Caenorhabditis elegans: one gene and its partners. The protein of the gene in region 1 interacts with the protein of each later gene in a pairwise test. Each region holds a gene or a part of one and is shown in the gene's direction. Other genes may lie near its edges.

Region 1 (4,947 bases):
TGAAAATTTGCAAATTTCGCACAAAAATTCAATTTTCGGCAAATTCAAACGTGAACATTTGAATTTTCACGTAGAAATTCGCAATTGTTCGAGAAAATCTGAATTTCAGCAAATTCAGCTTAAATTTCAATTGTCCGGTGAAAACTTTTGCAAATTTTATATGAAAATTGGCCAATTTCGTACAAAAATCCGATTTTCAGTAAATTTATACCAATTTTGATGTGGAAATTCGCAATTGCTATAACTTTCTTTCTGAAAAATCCGATTTTTAGCAAATTCGGCTTAAATTTCAATTTTCCTGTAAAAATGTGCAAATTTCGTATGAAAATTCGCAATTTTCACACAAATTTCGTTTTTCGGGAAATTCAAAATGAAAATTTCAATTTCCATGTAGAAATTCGCAATTTTTCGGGAAAAAAAATCTGATTTTCATGAAACTTATATGAATAATATAAATTTTGAATTGGAAATTCGGAATTTTTATAGGAAAAATCCAAATTTCAGCAAATTCAGCTCAAATGTCAAATTTTCTTGTGAAAAGGTGCAAATTTCATATGAAAATTTGCCAATTTCGCACAAAAAATCGACTTTCGGTAAATTTATATTTAAAATCTCAATTTTCACTTAGAAATTCGCCAATTTTCCGAAAAAAATCTGAATTTCAGCAAATTGAGCTCAAATGCCAAATTTTTCTTGTGAAAAGTTGCAATTTTCATATGAAAATTTGCCAATTTCGCACGAAAAATCGTTTTTCGGTAAATTCAACCGTAAAATTCTTAATTTTCACGTAGAATTTCTCAAGAATTCCCCAAAAAAAAACACGCACTGAGCCCTGGCTCTTCCCTGTCGATCCAACTGCACATTTGGTACACTAAGCCTGACTAATCTCGCAAATAACGATTGTTCCATATTCGAATATTTCTGGAATGCCTGATTCTGTACAACTGGCGGCAGCTGATGATGATCTCCAATCATAATCCATCGTTTCAGTCGATTGTGTCCGTCTTGTGGATTTTGTAGTAACAATGGGATAAATGTTTCAACTTCAAGAATTTGAGCGGCTTCTTCCATTACGATATTATCGTAGCGGAAGCCGAGCTTCACGAGCTCATTTCGACGGAGAGCCGCGTGTGTACAAGTCATTGCGATGATTTTTGCCTCTTTCACCTGAAAAAATCCAGGATTTTTATAATTTTCAGAGTGTTTTTGTTGTAATTTCGTCGAAAAACTCTAAAATTTTCAAATTTAACATTTCGAAATTTGAATTTTAATTATATTTTTTCTTTTTTTTGCAAAATTTTGTATATTTTATTTGAAATTTGTTGTAGGTTGTAGTTTAGGGAGCACTATATGCCTAGATTCGATATATTTTTTTGCAATTTTCAACATTTTTTCCAATATCTTATTGATCAGATAATTTTTATGTCAGTTGTTTTTTTCTTTTTTGCTTTTTTAAAAGTTTTAAGTAGGCGGGCAATTGTTGTTCGGAAAATTCGGCGAATTCCGGCAAGTTTTTACCCGTTTGCCGGAAATGTTCAATTCCGGCAATGTGCCGGTTTGAAGGAAATTTTCAGTTCCGGCAATTTGCCAGAAATTTTAAATTCCGGCAAATTTTTGCCGGTTTGCAGGAAATTTTCAATTCCGGCAAATTGCCCATTTTGCCAGAAATTTTCAGTTCCGACAATTTGCCGGAAATTTTCAATTCCGCCAATTTGCCGATTTGCCGGAAATTTTCAATTCCGGCAAATCGCCCATTTTGCCAGAAATTTTCAATTCCGGCAGTTTGCCAGTTTGCCGATTTGCCAGAAATTTTTAATTCCGCCGGTTTGCAGGAAATTTCAAATTCCAGCAATTTGTCGATTTGCCAGAAATTTTCAATTCCGGCAACTTGCAAATTTGCCGGAAATTTTTAATTCCGGCAAGTTTTTGCCGAATTGCCGGAACTGCAGTTTTTGACTGAAATTGGCTTAAAAATAAGCTTTTCAGACCAAAATTTCTACCGTAATCCAACACAAAGTACCAAAACTGCCAAATTTTGGCATTGTCCGATTTGTACGAAAAACTACAAGAATCAATCGAAAATTCGCTTTTCCGTGGAAAAACTTCACATTTTTCCAGATTTTCAGACAATTCTGAAGAACAGCCGGAAAATCTCACCCAATTCCCAGGTATCTCACCTCTCCGGTGTCACCTTTTCCCGGTCATGTCTCCCGCCAAACAAAATCGCACCTTCTCGCCTCCCCGCCTACCTAGGCAGCAATGCTCCGCCTAGATTTACAGCCTCCCCAGCTGGAGAATAGCCACTATAATTCCCCCAATTCATTCCACACAAAATGTCATCATCCAACTATAATATTAATAACGGCGGTGACTATTATCCTTTGTCTTCTTCGAATCTTAATTCAACTTCTGCTATTACTAATGCTACTGTAATGGAATATTCCACAATGCCAAGCAGCTCTCCGGGCTCAATGAGCTCATCGCCAGCCTATCCGGCGGCCTATCAGGCTCCATCACCGTGCTACGTGGCGGATCCCAATCAGCTTTACTATCAACAACAGCTGGCTCATAATGGGAATGATATGTTGTAAGTTTTTTCGATACTTTTCAGTACAAAACGGGCGTTTTAGAGTGATTTTCACTACGTTTTTCTACCGAAATGCGTGAAGAACCGCTAATTTTAATGGGGTTATTCAATTAGCGTCGGAAAATTAAAAAGTGTAGAAAAATTACGTCACAACTGTATTAAAATACATTTAAAAACATGTATTTAAATACATTTTGCAAGTAACATTTCTTGAATAACCCCATAAGTTTTGACAGTGGGAAATTACTCAAAATATAGCTTTTTCACACTATATGGCCGCGAACGGGCATTTTTAGCAAAAAAAAACTTTGTTAGCTGCTTTGTTGCAATTAACAGCTCTAAAAATTCCAATTTGAACTATTTTGGTAGCTGCAATTTTGCAATTAACAGTGTCGAAAAGTCCAATTTGCACAAATTGGGCAAATTTGGTAGCTGCTTTTTTGCAATTAACAGTGGCCAAAATTCCAAATTTAGGCAATTTTGGTAGCAGCTGCTTTTTTTGCAATTAACAGCTCCAAGAAGTCCAATTTGCACAAATTGGGCAAATTTGGTAGATTTATTGCAACTAGCAATGTCGAAAATTCCAATTTGAACTATTTCGGTAGCTGCTTTTTTGCAATTAAAAGCTCCAAAAATTCCAAATTTATGCAATTTTGGTAGCTGTTTTCCTGCAATTAGCAGTGTCGAAAAGTCCATTCTGAACTATTTTCGTAGCTGCTTCTATGCAATTAAGAGCTCTTAACAATCCAATTCAGGAAATTTTGTTTGCTACTTTTTTTGCAATTAACTGTTTTCAAAAATTTCAATTTTGAACAATTTTCGAAGCTTCTTCTTCGCAATTAGCAGTGGCCAAAATTCCAAATTTAGGCAATTTTGGTAGCTGCTTTTTTTGAAATTAACAGCTCCAAGAAGTCCAATTGCCACAAATTGGGCAAATTTGGTAGCTTCTTTTTGGCATGTTAAATTTACAGCGGCAAAAATCCCTATTTGGAAAATTTGATCACTGCTTATTTGCAACAAAATTCATCTCCGTGATCGCTTTTCTTCCGAAAATTCCTTTTTTTTTACAGAGTTCAAGCCCATGCTCAAGCCTACCAAGCTCAATGCTTCGCCTGGTTCCAGCAGCAGTACTCACAACTCTCCCCATCCTCGTTTCCTCATCCTATGGTGGCTCATCACGCTGGCTTCATCCCACCACCGCCGTCTTTTCTACATCATCAGCATCAGCAGCATCCAAGAGCTCCTTCAGAAAAGCGGAGAGGCGCTCGAACTCCGTTCTCCGATTCTCAGCTTTACGCGTTGAGAACCAGATTTGAGCAGTGCGACACAATAAAGGTTGACGAGCGACGGAAGTTGGGAGCAGTCATCGGACTTTCGCCCGAGCAGATCAAGATTTGGTTTCAGAATCGGAGATTCAAGTTGAGAAAGGAGAAATACAAGCAGATCAAGCAGGACGCTGTGCAGCAACAGAAATCGGCGAAGGAGGAGGCGGAGGAGGACCAGAAGCATGTTATTTCTTGATTTGTGTAGCTTTTTGTCACTTGTATTATTGTGTGCCCCCAATAAACGATGTTCGATTGAATTGAAGAAAAAAAACCGCGAAATTTGAATTTTCAGTGTTTTTGAACCTTTTAGAACATCAAAATTAGTAGAAATTCCACAACTTCAAAATTTTTGTCTCAAATTTACAACTCTCCGAGCATGTGTATTATAGGCGGTGTAGTCGATTTTTTTTATTGCTTCATTAGACTCAAAATTGTCTGAAAACACAGAATTTCATAATGAAACTTTTTTGAAAACTTCTCAAAAAAAAATTATGACGGCTCAAAAAATGGCCAAAAATTCGTTAAAATTTCAAATTTGACCGACGACTTGTCAATGTCGTAACGGCTGAAGGCAATTTTTTTTTTGAAATCACCGTCAAATTTTGAGTATACAATGTAATTATCTTGCGTTTTCAACTTCATTTAGGTATTTTAAAGTCCATGGACTACGGCGAGATTTGGTTTTAAAAATTTAAAAATCTCTTCGTCCATCGATTTTAAAATACCTAAATGGAGTTGAAAACTCAAGATAATCATGCTGTAAACTCAAAATTTAACGATGATTTCAAAAAAAAATGTTTCCAGTCGCTGCGGCATTGACAAGTCGGTCAAATTCAAATTTTAACGAATTATAGGCCATTTTTTGAGCCGTCATAACTTTTTTTAAAGAAGTTTTCAGGAAGTTTTATTATGAAATTCGGCGTTTTCAGACAATTTTGAGTCTAATGAAGCAATAAAAAAATTCGACTACACCACCTATAATACACATGCTCGGAGAGTTGTAAATTTGAGACAAAAATTTTGAAGTTGTGGAAT
Region 2 (7,853 bases), on another chromosome or scaffold:
TTGCTTGGGGTTTCAATCTCGATTGGGGCCGCCCCTGTAAGACTCTTCCCTTTTTCTATCTCGCAGTTCTTACGTAACCGCCTTGCATTTCGTCGCGCCTGCCCTGTCCGCAAAAACGATTAGAACGATTAGCTTGCCGTTTGACCTAAAAAAAAATCATTCAAGTAGCTGCTGGCTCGTCGTTCCTTCTCGTCATTACGTAACTTTTCAATTTACTATGGTATAAGAAGTCTTTCAGAGGTTTTGATAAAAGTTGAACTACGGCCAGTGGAAAATTATTAAAAACAATGGCGCAAAAATAATCAAGCTTTAAAAAAAAATTTGGAAACATTTTTATTCTGAGTCTGAACTCACTCACAAAAAAAATTTTAATAAGCTTTTTTTGTTTAAAATTGTGTTCAAAATATGCATACTTCAACATTTTAGAGGTTCAAACATGCAAACTCAGTTTTCTCCGCTTTTCGACTCTAAATATTATTAAATATTGCAAAAGTTTCATTATGATACTTAGACGTTTTAGCACAAAAGGCGTGGTTTTGAACCATTTCACTAAGTCCAAAAACTAAAAATCGCAACAATTGTAATATGCTAATACATATATGAATAGGAGCATTCTCTATTTGAATGTCTAATTGATGCAAATATGTGGACCATAAAAGTATGTTCCTAGGTTCTTCAAACATTCTTTCCAATACCTGTTAGTCCTGCTAAAATTGAAAACTTCTAAAAAATGTTCATTTCCATTTCCCTTTTTTCTCATATGTTCCTCCTACTTGCCCACCTAGACCTCTTGTCACTTTGCGTTCACCTGTCTGTCTTTTGATGTAGTATATGGAACAGTTTTCTTATCCATTCGCTATATCTCCATTACCTTACTCGCCTCTTGTTTCTTTTCTCTCGGAGATATATACCAGATAGACATTTGGCGGGAAAAGGCAAGATGTGCTATGATAGCTACTGATTATGTAGCCGTCAAGAAAAGGAACGCGACCTGTACGCGGGAGGAGGTGAATCCTTATTATACGAGCGCCTGGACACACGGCCAAGGCCAATCCCTGTTCGTGCCGAGAATCTCAACGGGGTAAGATTCACACTCTTATCCGTCACCGCTCTACAATTACTGTAGTTGCTGCGGCGTGTGTAGGCCCAAAAAAATAATACAGATAGATAGAAACTCAACAGTCATACTCAACATTTTCAAAATTTTGGTAGTGTGTGCCCAATTAAAATAGCACATTGAATAGAGATAGTTGAACTTGTTGATGCGGATCGAGAAAACCGGCCTCAAAGCATTGTGTGATTATGGGGTCGAATGGCAGTCAGAAGAGAGGGGGAGCGGGAGCGAGAGAGAGACAAAAATTCGAATATAATAGCGATGTTGGATAGTTTATTCTAGCATTGCGCAACCCGAATCAATTTTACAAAACTGGTTTTGTTGTGGTCGTCCAATAAGAAAAAAGAACACGAGAATCGAAGATGCGCGCAATCCTCAACTCAAGCAATCATGCTGTCTATGGTTTGAGGGCTTTTTTGGTGTATCCCTCGCGTCATTCTATTTTTTTTTGGGTCAGCCGTGTTTGGTAGAAGTTTCCCAACTGTTATTCGCTTGTGTTCTATACTAAAAAAAAGCTTGAACAGCTTGCCCACATCTGTTCCTAAGAGCATCGTGCTTCTATCTAAGACTCGCTTCCAACTTTTTTTTTTCAAAATTGAGAAAGCTAATCAACTCGCAATTGCTAGCCAAAATTGTTGCCACTTACTATCCCGACTGTGCTTGATGCCATTCCCCTCACCCCGTGCGTCCCGTCGCTCACTATCTCTATTCTGCATGGTATGCCCCGCCTCCAAAAATCGGGTAGGCGGGGGGAGTCATAGCCTTCAGCTCGTTCTTGCACTACTGCTTGCCATTTTGTTAGTCCAAGAGCACAGGTCACCGGATTACTGTAGTATTCATTTTAAGATTGCAGAAGCCGTGTGACAAATTTCGATTTTGAATGTTCTGTTATTTTCTCACTTCCTCCTCTCGAGCACTCTTACCTTCCCCGCCATACTTGAGCTACTGTAATGCATTGTCCAATCGCTGCTATGTATGCTTTTTCGCTACTTTTAAACAGTATCAAGTGAGGGTGTAAATACCTGGTTGGTGTCAGCCGGCGACGACCTTCTTGTCTCCGGAGAGAAGAGCTGCGTCTGAATACCTTTTCGAGTGTTGTACGCAAAACTTTTCAAGTAGTGGAGGTCTTGGTAGCCCATCCTACTTGTTCATCTATGAGCGCTCTTTCATTCAAACTGTCCACCGTTTTTTTCTTCTTCCTTGTTAGTGTTTCCTTTCAAATTCGATTTTGTGAAAATTTCAGCACCATTTTCTAAAAGCTTCATCAAATAACAAAAACATTTTTAGACAATGCCCTATCGTGCAGAGCTAAAACGTCCCGATTTGAAAGGCTCATTTCCCTGCTCGATTTGCCAAAAAGTATTCTGCCACAGTTCGTCTCTGAGTCGTCACCGGATGCAGGCTCACTTTAAAAGCTACACCTGTACCACTTGCAACAACGAAATTCCAAGTAAGTTTGAAAATGCAAGTTTGAGAAAAAAAAGAGAAATAGATGAATCAGAGTAGCAGGAGCTTGACTAACAATAGGGGAGAAAGAGCGAAACAATTTATGCCGCTATTGATGTTTTCACAGTTTTGTATCATGTTTTATCATATGATAATAAGAAAAAAGAGAGGGAAACTTAACTCGAGAACATAGCTATTGTTGAATTGTACGGAACTTATTCTATTGAAAATTTAAAATTGATCTAAAAATCTAAAAATAAAAAATTATGGGTTCTAGGTGATGTTTAACTTTCTAATTTATTTTTTCAAAATTGAATTAAAATTCTGAACGAATGTTCTATTTCCTGCTGCATTTAGTTTCTGTCTTCTACCAGTTTATTGCATTTCTACATTTTTCTAATCTCCCTCCCAATACATTTATTTGATCGGAAGTCTCCATAATCTGAAATGCGCGAAAGCTCAGTGGCATTGTTTACTGACAAGCTTAAACTCAACTCACACCCTCCGATTAGCACGTGGCTATATTGGGCATGTGTCAAACAAGGTTGATACAGTCTCCTTCTTTCCGCCAAAAAATTACATTGGTTATCTAAATATTGACACCCTTTCCAACTACTACTGTATTCTTAATTGTAGACATCTATATGGCATGGCAAACTGAATGAGGAGGTGTGCAAATACCGAGATAGCTCCGACTGTCAATTAGGAGTATCTATTTAGTAATATCTGTTAAGCTTTTAAAACAACCATGTGCACTTTTGGACTAGTAGCAAAAAGTTTAAAGGTGGAGTAGTGCCAGTGGGGAAATGGTTAACATCCACTTATATAGAGCCAAAATGACCAACATTATTGACAGTCAAAAAGTGGCAATAACTGTGTTCTTGCCACTTTTCGAGAAAACTATAGCAATGCCGCATGTTCGGATCTCTACAATGTTTGAATATTTATATTTGAAAAATATGTAGGCGACTGTTTATCGACGACTTTCAAAAAAGTAATTACCAATTTTAAAAACAAAATTAAAAATTTCAAAAAATTTTTGTAGCGTCGTTTGGCAAATTCGGCGTTATTTTTTTTCAATTTCCCACTGGAGCGTCTCCAGCTATAATGGAAAGCAGTATCATGTATTAAATAATAACAAATTGACTCTAATATTTGTGCAAGAATCTTTTGAAAAGACACCTCTGACCATATTACGCCACAGTTTTACAATAACACGTCTGCTATTTGCATTGTCTAATTGCCCCATCTTTCCATCCCGAGCGGCTTCCTAAGAGAGCGAGAGGCATAAATAACCGACGGTATGTATGTATTACTTAATGGTTTCTTTTCTTGGAATGGAAGGTAGGATGAACCTCCAAGGTCAGTCATTTGATGACCATCCATCAGCTAATTGTTGGCACGCCACTGTCGCTAAGTGAGCTTGAGAGCGAAGAATAGGGCCAGCGCGCGGGCAAAGTAAAAAAAAAACCACCGATTGTCTTCTTTCCCCATCTTCCGCAACAAAAATTGCAACCTCTTCTTTTTCTACCACCTTTCCAACATTACAATTTATTGGTTGTTCACTCGCCGTCAATCATTTGTTACGGTTCGCTGAGCATGGGGGTCGTTCAAGAAACTTTCGGCCAAAGCACCCAGCTTTTTTCACACCTTACTTCACCGCTCGCCTATACGTGGAATCCATACGGCGGCATGTTAGCAGGCAGATCAACAGGATTTGTTATATTACTCGTGCGCAATCCAACAATAAGCGGATCAACCAGTAGAATACCGAAACATAACATGAAAATGTTTTACAGCCTGACCCCTGCGTTTGTCGTTTTTTTTTGTGTTACTGCTTTGTCGGTAGGCAAGATCCGCTATTCTATAGATTTTCTATAGTGCGTATTTTCAAATTCAGACAAACATGCAAATGAGGGGGGTCGTCGTAGAACATTCGTCACATTGGCACCTAACATGCCTTTACGGGCGCGCGTATAGTGTCCCAATGTTGCGAATTTCATTTGATTGATAGACAGTTAGGCTCGGTGGCACAAAGAATGGCAATTAAGTGGAATATGGAAATAGCAATGCAGTTGGGGTTGGCAAATAGCCATTTACATGTTACTTTCGACAAATATTTAGATCATTGAGACATGAATTCAAAAGCTGGAGAAGGGTTCAAATAGTATTTGATAATTACCATAATAAAATGAGTGCGAAATGAGCCGGCACTGCTCTCACTGTTCAGTCATTAGGAAACCTTAAGAAACAATTTTGCAGGCAACGATACACTACGCAGTCACATGTATCGAGTACACAACATTACCCGAATGTTTATGTGTCGGTGTTGCAATTGGGCTTTTCCCGACAAAACAAGTCTTCACATCCATATGCAGAGTATGCTGAAAAATGGGACACCGGGGGAAGCGGCTGTTTTAGCTAAGAGTTCAGATGGTAAAGATCTACCCACAAATTTTGAAATCCATTAATACAAATTTGCAGTTGTAGATAGCACATCCGAGTCGGGCTCCCCGCGTCAGTCTCCACCCTTCTCGCCTGATTTGTTGATGCAAAAGCGTATGTTACAAGTTGCTGCAAACAATAACAACATTGGATCCATTTTCCCGACACTGCTCAAAAGCCCCGACTCCAAATCGATGTTCCCCCTGGATCTTTCTAACATGGGTCCTTCACAGTTCCTCTCAGCGTGGCTTGCCAACAATCCCATCAACACGGCGGCCCTTAATCTGGCAGCGCAACAAACACCGTCCAAAGTACGTTACAACTCTTTGATGTTTTGAATTCAAATGTATTACATTTTAAGGATTCCATCCAGTCTTCTAATATTAGCGATTATGACGACTTAGAAGTGCAGACAACTGAAGAAGACATCAAATTTGAAGTGGAAAGCAGTGATGTCAGCCCTCGGTCAGTCATTGTCAAGACTGAACCAACTTTCAAAAGAGAACTGGAACACGATGCTGATATTGATGTGGAAGGCGATGATGTAAGGAAAACTTATTGAAATTTTGAGGAAAATTTGTTTTTCACCCCATTAAACTTTAATATGTCATATTATGAAACTTTCAAAATTTTCAGGGCGAACCACCATTGAAAATGACGATTGATGACAAAAACATCCACATTTCCCATGATCAGCCTTCTCCAACGGTTTCGGATTCTCACATCAGTGGTGGATCGTCTAGTCATTCGGGCGAAAGTTTGAAATGCTTTGATTGTCAGGTTAGGAAGTTGTCTTAAATGGTTTTGAATTATAATTTAAAATATGAAAAAAAAAAATAAAAAACCATCCATTTTGCGAGCGCTATGTGAAGAGAATCTGGGAATTAGGTACAGTACTTCTGGTGATATGATTAGTCTTTAGGTTAAGTTTGATAATCCAGTCATGGACTGCTCCACTTTCAAGTTCACGCTAGGTTTCAGCTGGTTAAAATCTCAGGGTCCTATAGCAAAACGGGTGCTTTCAATTGTGATGATAAATTTATGAAAACGGATTCGAGGTTTTTTGACACACTCGATTCCAAATATCACAAAAAATTTTCCTGAAGAATTGTATGTATTCCAATGCTTCACAAATTTAGGGGTGTCCTACAAGAAGCGCGCGCACTGTAAAAACTCGTGACCTGTAGTTCTTCAGCGGCCACCACTACCGACTGAGTTATCCCCCACCCACTGATATTTTTAATAATTTACATAAGTTTATGATGTTTCAGGTAGCCAGAGGGAAGCTTGTTGCAGTTGAGGACAAATGTCGTGCCTATGAAAAGACCATTAGAGAGTTGCAAGTTCAAGTGGATTTCCTCCGCAAAATTCAACCGAATCCGATGCCACCCGTGATGCTGCCTCCTCCGATGATGCCTATGCCATCTCCAGGGCCGAACAATCTATTTCAAAATCCTGCGATGAGAATGTTGTTGAACAATTTGATTCACATGAACCGTCCCTCAGTGGTTCCCTAGATCCAAACGATTTCAATTTCTTTATTTCCGATTTTGATGGTGTCATCAAATCTAGTTGAACCACGTAGTCATTTTCATTCCTTGTTTCTAATCAGCATTTTGAGCCATTGAAATACAACAATCCTTTGAGCAATTTCCGAAATACTCTGAATCAAAGAACCAACAGCTTTTAAAGCGGTTTTGGTTGGCTTTTAAACTAATTGTCGTTTATATCTTTGTACATAATGCCTATTCTCGTAGCTACTTCTTATCTTTGCATCCAAATATTTCAAACTTCCAAAAAAAATCAGAGTGCTCTCATTCCTGACAATTGTATTTACCGCAATCTTAGAAACTGGTGGACATTTTCCAAACAATCCGAATCTACTTTACTTTTTTGTTGCAATAGCTTCAATAAAACGTAGCCTTAAATGCACTCAGCGATTTACCTAGAACGTCCTTTACATTACTTCATTGTTCTAAATGTTTCCTTTTTTATTTCTTCTGGTCCTTTTCTTGACTTTTATAGCATTACCCTTTTTTCCCGCCTTGACTTTTTCCTTCCCTCAATGATTTCATTTCATTATATTTGTGATAAATAATTTTCAAAGTTCAAAATGCAGGAAGTAATAAGCCATACAAAAAACTAGCAAAAACGAAACTCTCACAAGATGATGTTATCCTCGCATAAAACATCATTTTGTTTGAATGCAAAACTGAACCCGTTTCAGAGGGTAATGTGCTTTCAGGTGAAGCGATGTGAAAATTCATTTTTACCTTTTCGACCCACTAGACGTCACAATCAGCATAGTGAAAGGTTGAGCATGATTCATTTCTGATTTCTTCCTGATGTACTCAGTCGATTGTCTAAAACTTCAGCTTCAAGAAATTTCGTACTAGTTGATTCCCTTTTTGCAGCTTTCGTTTTCTTACATCAAAACGAAAAATTGCTAGATGAAATACTTACGAACTTGTGTTTGGCTTCAATTGTTATTCAAAATTTCTCAGGAGTGTATTTAAAGTATTCTAAAACCATATAAAACTCCAAAAATAGTCAAATCTATGTTATTGCAGAATAGATGCTTAAAATATTTCTCGAAAATGAATTAATATTTAGATAATTTTTTGTGACTCTCCCTTGTCCATTTTATGTTTTGAACATTTAGTATTTTTGTATCACCAGCTGCTGCAAGTCAATTCACACAGGTTAGAATGTTGCGATATATTGAAATTTCCTATATCTGGTACTCCATTTTAAGGATGTAAAAATTCAGATATTGCAATACTTTTTAAAAATTGTAGAAATTTTTAATGTGCATCCAAAAAGTGGTACCCCTAATTTTGGAAGTCAG
Region 3 (8,558 bases), on another chromosome or scaffold:
ATTTCCATCCCAAGCCCCTCCCACAGTCGTTTTTTTTTCGAACCTCTTCTCATTGTTGCGAAAAGCCATTCATTTTGTGTGGCGCAGCATCAGGCAAAGCAGCACTTTTTTGCAATGCAACACTCTGAATATCCGTCAAGGGAGTCGACGAAATAGTGTGCGAGACGAAGAGACGCAGACACGGAAAATTGCGAAGAACTACGATTGGAAAAAGCGAATAACAACAGCCGTTTTTTATTGGGCCGCCCCAATTTTTCTAATGGGTGGCCTGAAGACGGACGCCCGGCGCGAGGTCGGAGAAGATAAAAGGACGTTTGAATTTGGACGCCCGGACCTCCCGATTTATGAGACCTTTTTGTACGGAGGTTGTCTCGAGGGAAGAGTTTTAAATTTCAAGGATTTGATCTTGCAAGCGCTTGGGATTTTGAATGAATGAAAAAATTGGGTGGAGGCTAGAAGTTATCAGAAAAAATGTTCAAATTTTTTTTTGAAATTTCTGAAAATCACTACCGTAATTTCTATACTATCAAATGCTAGCCAATATCTGATTTTTTGTCTGCTGTGTAAAACGACAGGCAATGATTTTTTTAATCGAAAAGAGCAAACCCTCGAAATAGGCTCCACTTACGCAACAAATCGTTCTCTTATTTCGCTTCGATCGACCACCAGTATTTAAAAGATGGGTGGTCTAGATCTCACAGAAACCTGCACTATTTCAACAAGATAAACACGACGGAATGTTCGTTCACTCTCACACTTCAGCCGTTTTTTTCCTACGAGCGAAACAATCAGCGGGGCGGGTAGTGAGCGAGTTGAGACTGTCTAGACTCGATGTGGTGATCTCTTTGGAGTACAGAGAATGTTCAGAGTAAATACAGTCCATTCGGCAACATTTGAAAACAAGAATTTAGTCAAAATTTATCAGCAATTCCTTTAGAAAGTTGGTTCTCAAACCTAAAATTTTTTAACGACATTTATAAAGTGGAACTGGAAATATCTTTGGTTCGGGAAAATTTGAGAAATTTAAATTACTGAAACTTTAAAAGTCATATTGAAAATTGTTATCCATTGCAGGTCAATAATTTTTGACTGAAACTTCAAATCTTGGTAATTGAAAAACGGTTTGACTAAATAGTGAGTCACTAGAACTTTGACAGTTGGTAAGACAGTTTTCAACAAAACTATTACTTTTCAAAGTTTTTGGTAGCTTCTCTCGAAAACATTCCTAATATATTTTCAGGTCCAAATCAACCTTTACCAAAAATGTTTCCTCTGTAATTTTCTTGTCAATCCCACTTTGTTTCTACCGCTTCTTCTCCTTTCCATTTCGAGGACACAGTCGAGATCAAATGTGTGCGTTGAAACTGCCAATTTTCATTCTCTCTCTGCTAACTGAACACAAGACCTGAAGGTGCTCATTAGGCGAAATTGAGAAATATTGGATTACTGTAGGCTTAGATATGTAATCAATCTGAAACTGGTGACGCGGGTGTTCAGAAAAAAAATTGTGGTTGGGTTGGGGGGTTAAGATTCAAATGAAGAAATGAAAAAAGCTAGTAAAAGCTGAAAGAAAGTACTTAGCTTATGAATATTAATTAGGTCACATGGGAGCAGTTATGAATTTCCAGTCCTAATTTTTTCTACAGCCCGGTGCCGGGATCTTGGCCCTATGGACTGAAAAAAAGCTCAAGAATTGTATTTTTCCTCGAAAAAAAAATATAATTAAGCTTTCTATATAGGCTCCAAGGTTCCAACTTGTGGATCCATAATTCTAGACATAGTTTCAATTTCCTTTAAAGCAAGGTAGGTCACATTCCAGGAATGTTTAATAGTTTTCTAAAATACAGAAAAGTCTAGAAAAGCCTACCCAACGAATGATAATAAAAGTTCGAACAAAACCTATAAAAATTGAGTTACAGGAAATAAAATAAAAAACTAAAAGTTTGCAATTTTCTCTCGTCTCTTCTCTTTCCATGATCACACGTACTTACAGGTGTCCCCAAAAAACGCAGAGATCACACGATTCGCGGAGTGTCAGCCAGAGAAAAAATATGTCGTCGCGAGAACTGATAGCGGTGTCCCCCTCCACCGCCATAGTCTCGGGGCGCCGCTCCCTCCCGATATATGTTTGTCTGGCGTCTCTTACCAGGTTTTCTCACGTTCGGCGTTCTCTAATTATCGTCGTGTGAGGTCTTCTATCCAATCGCGGGTGGCATCAGTCGCCAAAAAAGAGGCGGCGCTTCGTCGCCGCGACTCTTTCTTGCTGGGACCCGCCCCGTTTCACAGGAGGGGAGTGCCTATTACTCCCTCTTTTCCTTTTCTTTTCGATATTTGAATGCTATCGGTGCTCTAGGAGCTCGATCTTGACCCCTTGTTGGAGGAAATTGTACTTTTGGGTAGGTGCTTCCAGTCGATTCAGAATAATTTTTTGGGGTTTTTGAAAACAGTAAAATTATGTGAAAATGTTTCCATCTTTGCGTCTACAATTTGTGGCTGACTTTCCTAACAGTCTACTCTTTGAAATTTTTGAGAAAATGGCTTAACAAAAACTTGAACATTTGATCTGATGTACATTGTAGAAATACTGTAGCTCCTGACTTGTCTGTTTGTCTTGGTTTTAGTCTCTACAAAAAATTATTTCTTGATAAAAACCTCTAATTGATTAAAAATTGAACCTTTTGTAACACGATCAAATGTTGCCAGTTGCAATTAATCGATTTTTGTGATTTTATAAAGTTTGCAGTTAGGTTTGAAAAACTTCAAACGTATTTTATTTAGAAATTTATTTGCTCTTTTTTTCCTTCAAGTCAAATAAGCAATACGGTTCTGTAAATTAATAAAACTTTGTTGCCATTAAATATTGAAATTCCATGTATATCCGTTCTGAAAAATTCTTTATAAGAAAAAATTTCAAACTGGTTTTTAACATTTTTAACTATTGCAGGTTTAAAAACATACAGTAGCCCAACTTTATTCCACATTTAAAGTCACAGAATGAGCCCAACGTTGAATTGAACATTTAGATTATAAAAACGTATTTTATATATGTTTGAGCTATCTGTAATTTTTGAAGAAAAAAAAACTGGTTTCAAAGCTCTCTAAATTTTCTGTTTTAAATTCTCAAAATTCTTAACATTATAGGAAAAGAAAATTTTTTTACTTTACTTTGAAAATTTTTTTAATCCGAAAGATATACACTGGAAACTAGAAAAGATACAGTATTACAAAAAAAATTCGCATTACCAGCTGCTCCTTTAAAAAATTGAAAATTTGTTCCGATGCAAAGAACAATATTTTTGGCGAAAAAATGTTCTTTCTCACAAAAATCAGTCTTGAAAATTTGACTTTTCCACGACATTTTCAAAATTTCGTAATTATTTTATAAGTCAAGATTAGAGTATAGCAGTTTCATATAATGCTTATAGATCCCTCTTTTTAATTCCCTAATTAAAAATAAAAATTTCAACAAAAACAACTAAATTCATAATCTGAAAAAATTTTGCAGAGGAGCTCTAATGCTCACCGAGGATCCCGTATCGGAGATTTGTGAGGCGAAAGCAGTCGATGAGCTCGCCGAGCAAGAAAAAAATTATTATTGTCAGAGATGTTTAAATCATGGGGAGTTGAAGCCAAGGAAAGGTCACAAGCCGGATTGTAGGTGAGCAATGGTTTTTTTTGCATTTTTAAACTACATTTCATCTGAAAACTATTTTGTCATTCCATGTTTCTCCCTCATTCACCCTTAATTATATACATCACGTTTTAATGCTTAAACTCTTGAATTTTTTGATAATTTTGGGTCTTGCAACGATAAAAAGTTAACAACTGTTTAATGAACTTTTTGTAACTTTTGTTGTGCCGAAAAAGTATGTAGTTTATCCATAAATACTCCAAATTCCAAATTTTATCTCAAAATTGTCGCGTCACCGACCTTATTCACCCACCATCAGTTTTTTTTTTCGCGAAGCCCTCCGACAAAGACACCCGTAAAATTTGAGATGTTCGTCTACCGATTACGATCGGGCAAGAAAAGACGCAAAGCAAGAAAAAACAGCTGACCTTGTCGATTTAAAGCGAAAAATACCACCCATACAGGTGAAATTGTTATTATATGAGTGAGGGGGGTCAAAAACGAATTATTATATGGACGCGAAAAACGGAGGAGAAGAATGGGAAAATGCAAAGAGGCAAAAAGTTATGTTTTATACATTAACCTAAACCATTTTGAAGGTGGTCTAGGGATACTGTAGATGTTTCACCAAGGTGAAAGATGACTCAAAAAGATCTTGCAATGACGACAATTATCACTAAGCTAAATTGAAGATGGATTAGCGAAATCTGGGAAACATTTTAAAATGACTACAAGAGTTTTTTGAATACCTATGTGAAATTTTTTTAATTCCCTGATTTCGCTACTACACATTTAATAATATGTATATCAAGGTGTGTTACTCTTTTTAGGTTTTTTTAAACGCTCGTTTAAAGAATTTGTACTTCTCTGGTTTAAATATCCAAAACTCGCCCGAAACGACCGAATTTCATTATTAGGCTTTACAAAAATAATATCTATCCGGTTAAAAATTAAAAAAAAAACTAGTGAAATTCTGCCAGCTTCTTCTTCGGTCGATCATTTTTTCCAATGTTTAGATAAATTCAAAAAAGCGCTTCTTTTTTTTCGAGATATGTTTGGGAAGTTACATCATGAATTTTGGTTGTTTGGGATCAGTTTGAGACAATTCAAGCAACTAAAAATTTTTCAGCCTTTTTTATTATTTTTTTTGGAACCGAAAATTATTAAAAAATTATGTTTGCTTTTCATTCAAAAATCTTCATTCATTTTTTGACATCCAATCACACAGATACACTCACTTTTCAAACAAACCATTCCACAATGACCTATACAGTCGTAAAATTCCTCACCCAATTTTTTTTTTCTCCCAATTTTTTCAGTTCATATAATTTTTAACAAAAGATAGGGCCTATCTCTATTGTGAAAAGTCTAATAAAATATTTGAATGGGTGGGCGGGTTACTGTACAACTACAAAATTCTCCCGTCGATGACACCAAGTGGCACTGAAAAATAAACAAGACGAACATTTTACAGATATCTAAAATGTCCATGTCGAGAATGCACGATGGTCGAGCAGCGAAGACAGTTGAACAATTTGCTAAGCAAAAAGAAGGTGAGTATTCTATAGGGATTCTATGGTAGGTGTGGCTGTAGGTGGCTGTGCCTTACCTCATTCCTGTCTGCCTACATTTCTGTTTCGCGGTGTAGGCGGTCTTGAAGGTTGTATGTGCGTTCTCACGCACTTAAATACCACATCTTATCAGTTCACCAAAAAATCGCAACTTCAGATCAAATCTGACATTTTCAAAATGAAAAGTGGGTTGACGTCTTGGCTTTTTTCTCTTTTTGTAAGAAAAACAATTGAAGATACGAATAGATAGAGTGTGAAAAGCAAAGAAAAAGTGAGAAAAAGATTGATTTTATCGGATTTTTTTAAGGGTAGGTATATTTTTCATGAAGTTGTTCTTTTTCAAAAGGGGCTCTTGTTGTGGCAAGTCACATATAGGTCATTGCCTGGCCATCTATAGGCGTACCTACCTTATTGTTTTATTTCAGTTATTTGTTGAAAGTGTATTTTTAAATGAGAAAAATGCTCACTTTGGACCATGGGTATGCGTGTAGGTATGAGGCAATTGTAGGCTGCATTGACTGCAAGCATTCTTGAGCCTACTGAAAGTTTATACCGAATTTCTTGGTTATTGTTTTTGTGATTGCATTAACTCCTATAATATTACTGTGAAAATAAAACACTTTTTAGCGGGACCCCTTATAAACCTTTCCAAATTTCCAGATCCACTGCACACCGGCAACTCAAACCCGTGATGGGAAGCGTGTCCGTGACCCACACTGTGCTCGGTGCTCGGCTCACGGAGTCCTAGTCCCATTGCGGGGACACAAGCGGACAATGTGCCAATTTGTGACATGCGAGTGTACATTGGTAAGTGTAATTATACTGTCATCATCGGCAGTCAGGCGCCCTTGACAACATTGCAGTTTTTATGCTTTTCAATGTCACCTGCGCGAAGAAATTATAGGATTATAAAAGTACTGTAGGGAAATGGGGGAGTGGCTTGCCAATGAGATTTGAGAATGTGACTTTTTGAAACATTTTGATAAGTTTCAACTATTTCGAAGTATTTTTAATGCAACAGTGCTACGAATTGACTTTTTAAAAATTGTTGTGGAGCAGGCAACTTGGAGCATGCTCTTGGACTGACAGAGAAAGTTGCCACATTAATTTGTGTGAGATTTTTGAAAACGCGTAAACAGAACTACGATTTTCGAGTTTAAAAATATTATTTTTCAGTGTACTCTTGTGGAACACCGTCGAAATCTTATGGCGGCTCAAATCAAATTACGCAGATCACAACAGAAATCCCGAGATGGTAAAGAACCAAAAAGGAACTCTCGTAGAAAATCGAAAGATATGGATATGGAGATGATGGTTGTCACAGCTACAGATGGTCAAAAGATAATTGGTAAGCTATGGGATTTTGTAGAAGTGTGTAAATTGAGCTTTAAGTCAGAATCACAAAAATTGGAGTCTAAACCTGAAATCCAGTCGGAAGTAATTCTAGAGTTGACGGTACGTATTAACGTTATCAGAAACATAGATTTTACCATCAACTCATAGATTATATAAAATGGCTACTTGTTATTTCCAATTTTTCGTACCGAAACAATCAAATACGGGAATATCCAAACGCATCAATAAACAATTACGAAAGTTAAGAGGTTAATTTCAAATATGTCTAGAATCTCAAATTGGTACAACTTCTCAGTTATAGAATATGTCTTTCTGCTTACCTATCAGGCGGGCCCTGCCCTGAAAGTTACTTTGCCTTAAAGATAATTACCACTTAAGCCAATGTATTTTCAAAATTCAGGGGAAGACAAAAAAGTGGTAATTTTGATGCAAATATCAACGCAGACAGTTAAAATTTATATTGTAGCTTCAAAGAAATTAAATCTATAATATTCCAGGAACATCAGCAAGTCCATCTCCATCCTCAACCACTGATACAATGTCCCCATCCCTTTCAATGTCTCCACCATGCTCTCCATCTCCACTTCTGGCTCAATACACTCTGACGCTGGCTGCTCCGATTCCAATCTATCCGCCGATCCCAATGAATCAACAATTGATAAGCTTGCAACAACAACAGTTCCTGATGAGCATTATTCAAAATATGGCTCCATCAATCGGACAACAGGCTCCACTCCTTCCAGGCATTTCTGCAGGTTCTGTCTCATCGGCAGCAATTTTGAATGAGTTCTGGAGTATGTATCTGAAAAATTATGGTCTGCAAGCCTAAGATCTATAATTTTGACCAATTATTGATTTTTAGAAAAATTGTATGTTTCCCTTCTTTGCTTAATTTTCCACACAATCTCTTTTTATCTTTGGTTTCAAACTCAATGATTTTTTCATATTTTCTTGAATTTTCACTTTTTACCAATTTTGTTATATTTTCTAATTTTTTCATTCATTTTTCACCAAGTGAACCAACCAATTTACCGATTTTTTTCTCGTCTTCAAGACCGCTTGTGTTATTCCAAAAATCCCCATTTTTTTTAAATTCAAATAATCTTTTCGTCTCTCACCAAACCACATACTATCTTTCTATGTCTCTTCGCCACCTAATCATGTCATCAATTTCTTCGAAAATTCCCAAATTTCACCGATATTCTTCCGTTTGCATCGATTTCCCACTGTCCCCGCCCAAATTGAGCTGAGCTCCGCCCACACTTTCCCAGGATTACTGTATTGTTTCTCGCTCTGCGTCTCTCATTCTCGTTCCCTCTCTCTTTGTTTTATCTCGGAAAATAGGATCAAATCCTAAACAGTTAACCGGTCCGTTTTAGACACCCCCGGTGGTAATAATTTTGAAAAAAAGTGAAATCATGTTTTTTAATGTTTTGGTTTTAAAAAACCAAACATTTTTTGGAGAGAAAAATGTATAGAACTTCCAAACATACAAACACACGACGCATCGAGTCTAATAATTATTGATTTATTTTTATTATTTTTGATTTTTCAATAAACTTTTCATTTTTAAATCGTCTTGGTTCTGTATGCAAACTTGATCGTACAGCAATTTCCAGAAAAAAAGTTGGCGGCCGAGCTTTCTCTTCCGCGGCCATGTAGAAACCCATAGACAAGGTCTTAGCACGAATGAAACTTTTCCGTTACCGTACCATAGGGTATTTCCCAATTTCTCCTGTTTCAGAAAACATATTTTTTTTAAATTTAAACTTTCGTTGCTTCTGAGTTTTTAAAAAGTTTTATTTTCAGTTCTCCCAATAAAAATGTATTTATTTATTTAAAAAATTTAACAACGAAAAAAAAGCTATACCGCTCAACACCGAAAAGTTTGCGAATACAGTACTCCTTAAAGGCGCACACTCTTTTGTCCTCTGAAAAATTGATCGTGTCAAGACCCGGTACCGTATTTGTTGTCTAAAATTTTAAAATGTCCGTAATTT

The links. The genes of interacting proteins can lie anywhere in the genome.
Region 2: the proteins of ceh-51 (region 1) and ham-2 interact in a two-hybrid assay, tested with the Caenorhabditis elegans proteins (one large-scale study listed by BioGRID).
Region 3: the proteins of ceh-51 (region 1) and mab-3 interact in a two-hybrid assay, tested with the Caenorhabditis elegans proteins (one large-scale study listed by BioGRID).

Annotation. Positions count from the first base shown.
Region 1 is NC_003283.11:18,871,800-18,876,746, forward strand, and holds ceh-51 (Homeobox protein ceh-51), read left to right. Parts: upstream 1-2,333; coding exon 2,334-2,587; intron 2,588-3,657; coding exon 3,658-4,108; 3' UTR 4,109-4,183; downstream 4,184-4,947. Other genes in the region: emb-4 (Intron-binding protein aquarius), read right to left, coding at 827-1,167. UniProt on the Caenorhabditis elegans protein: Required for mesoderm development, including specification of muscle and coelomocyte precursors.
Region 2 is NC_003284.9:4,552,290-4,560,142, forward strand, and holds ham-2 (Zinc finger protein ham-2), read left to right. Parts: upstream 1-2,395; 5' UTR 2,396-2,404; coding exon 2,405-2,564; intron 2,565-3,209; exon of another isoform or gene 3,210-3,353; intron 3,354-3,643; exon of another isoform or gene 3,644-4,085; intron 4,086-4,453; exon of another isoform or gene 4,454-4,592; intron 4,593-4,822; coding exon 4,823-4,996; intron 4,997-5,044; coding exon 5,045-5,316; intron 5,317-5,366; coding exon 5,367-5,549; intron 5,550-5,641; coding exon 5,642-5,785; intron 5,786-6,276; coding exon 6,277-6,522; 3' UTR 6,523-7,119; downstream 7,120-7,853. UniProt on the Caenorhabditis elegans protein: Probable transcription factor that acts downstream of egl-15, to promote migration of the HSN motor neurons from the tail to the gonad primordium during HSN cell differentiation.
Region 3 is NC_003280.10:9,729,907-9,738,464, forward strand, and holds mab-3 (Protein male abnormal 3), read left to right. Parts: upstream 1-2,324; 5' UTR 2,325-2,396; intron 2,397-3,505; 5' UTR 3,506-3,515; coding exon 3,516-3,658; intron 3,659-5,104; exon of another isoform or gene 5,105-5,105; coding exon 5,106-5,184; intron 5,185-5,862; coding exon 5,863-6,009; intron 6,010-6,378; coding exon 6,379-6,550; intron 6,551-7,055; coding exon 7,056-7,387; 3' UTR 7,388-8,129; downstream 8,130-8,558. UniProt on the Caenorhabditis elegans protein: Transcription factor which binds the DNA motif 5'-[CGA][TCA][TA]ACAATGT[AT][TGA]C-3', probably as a monomer.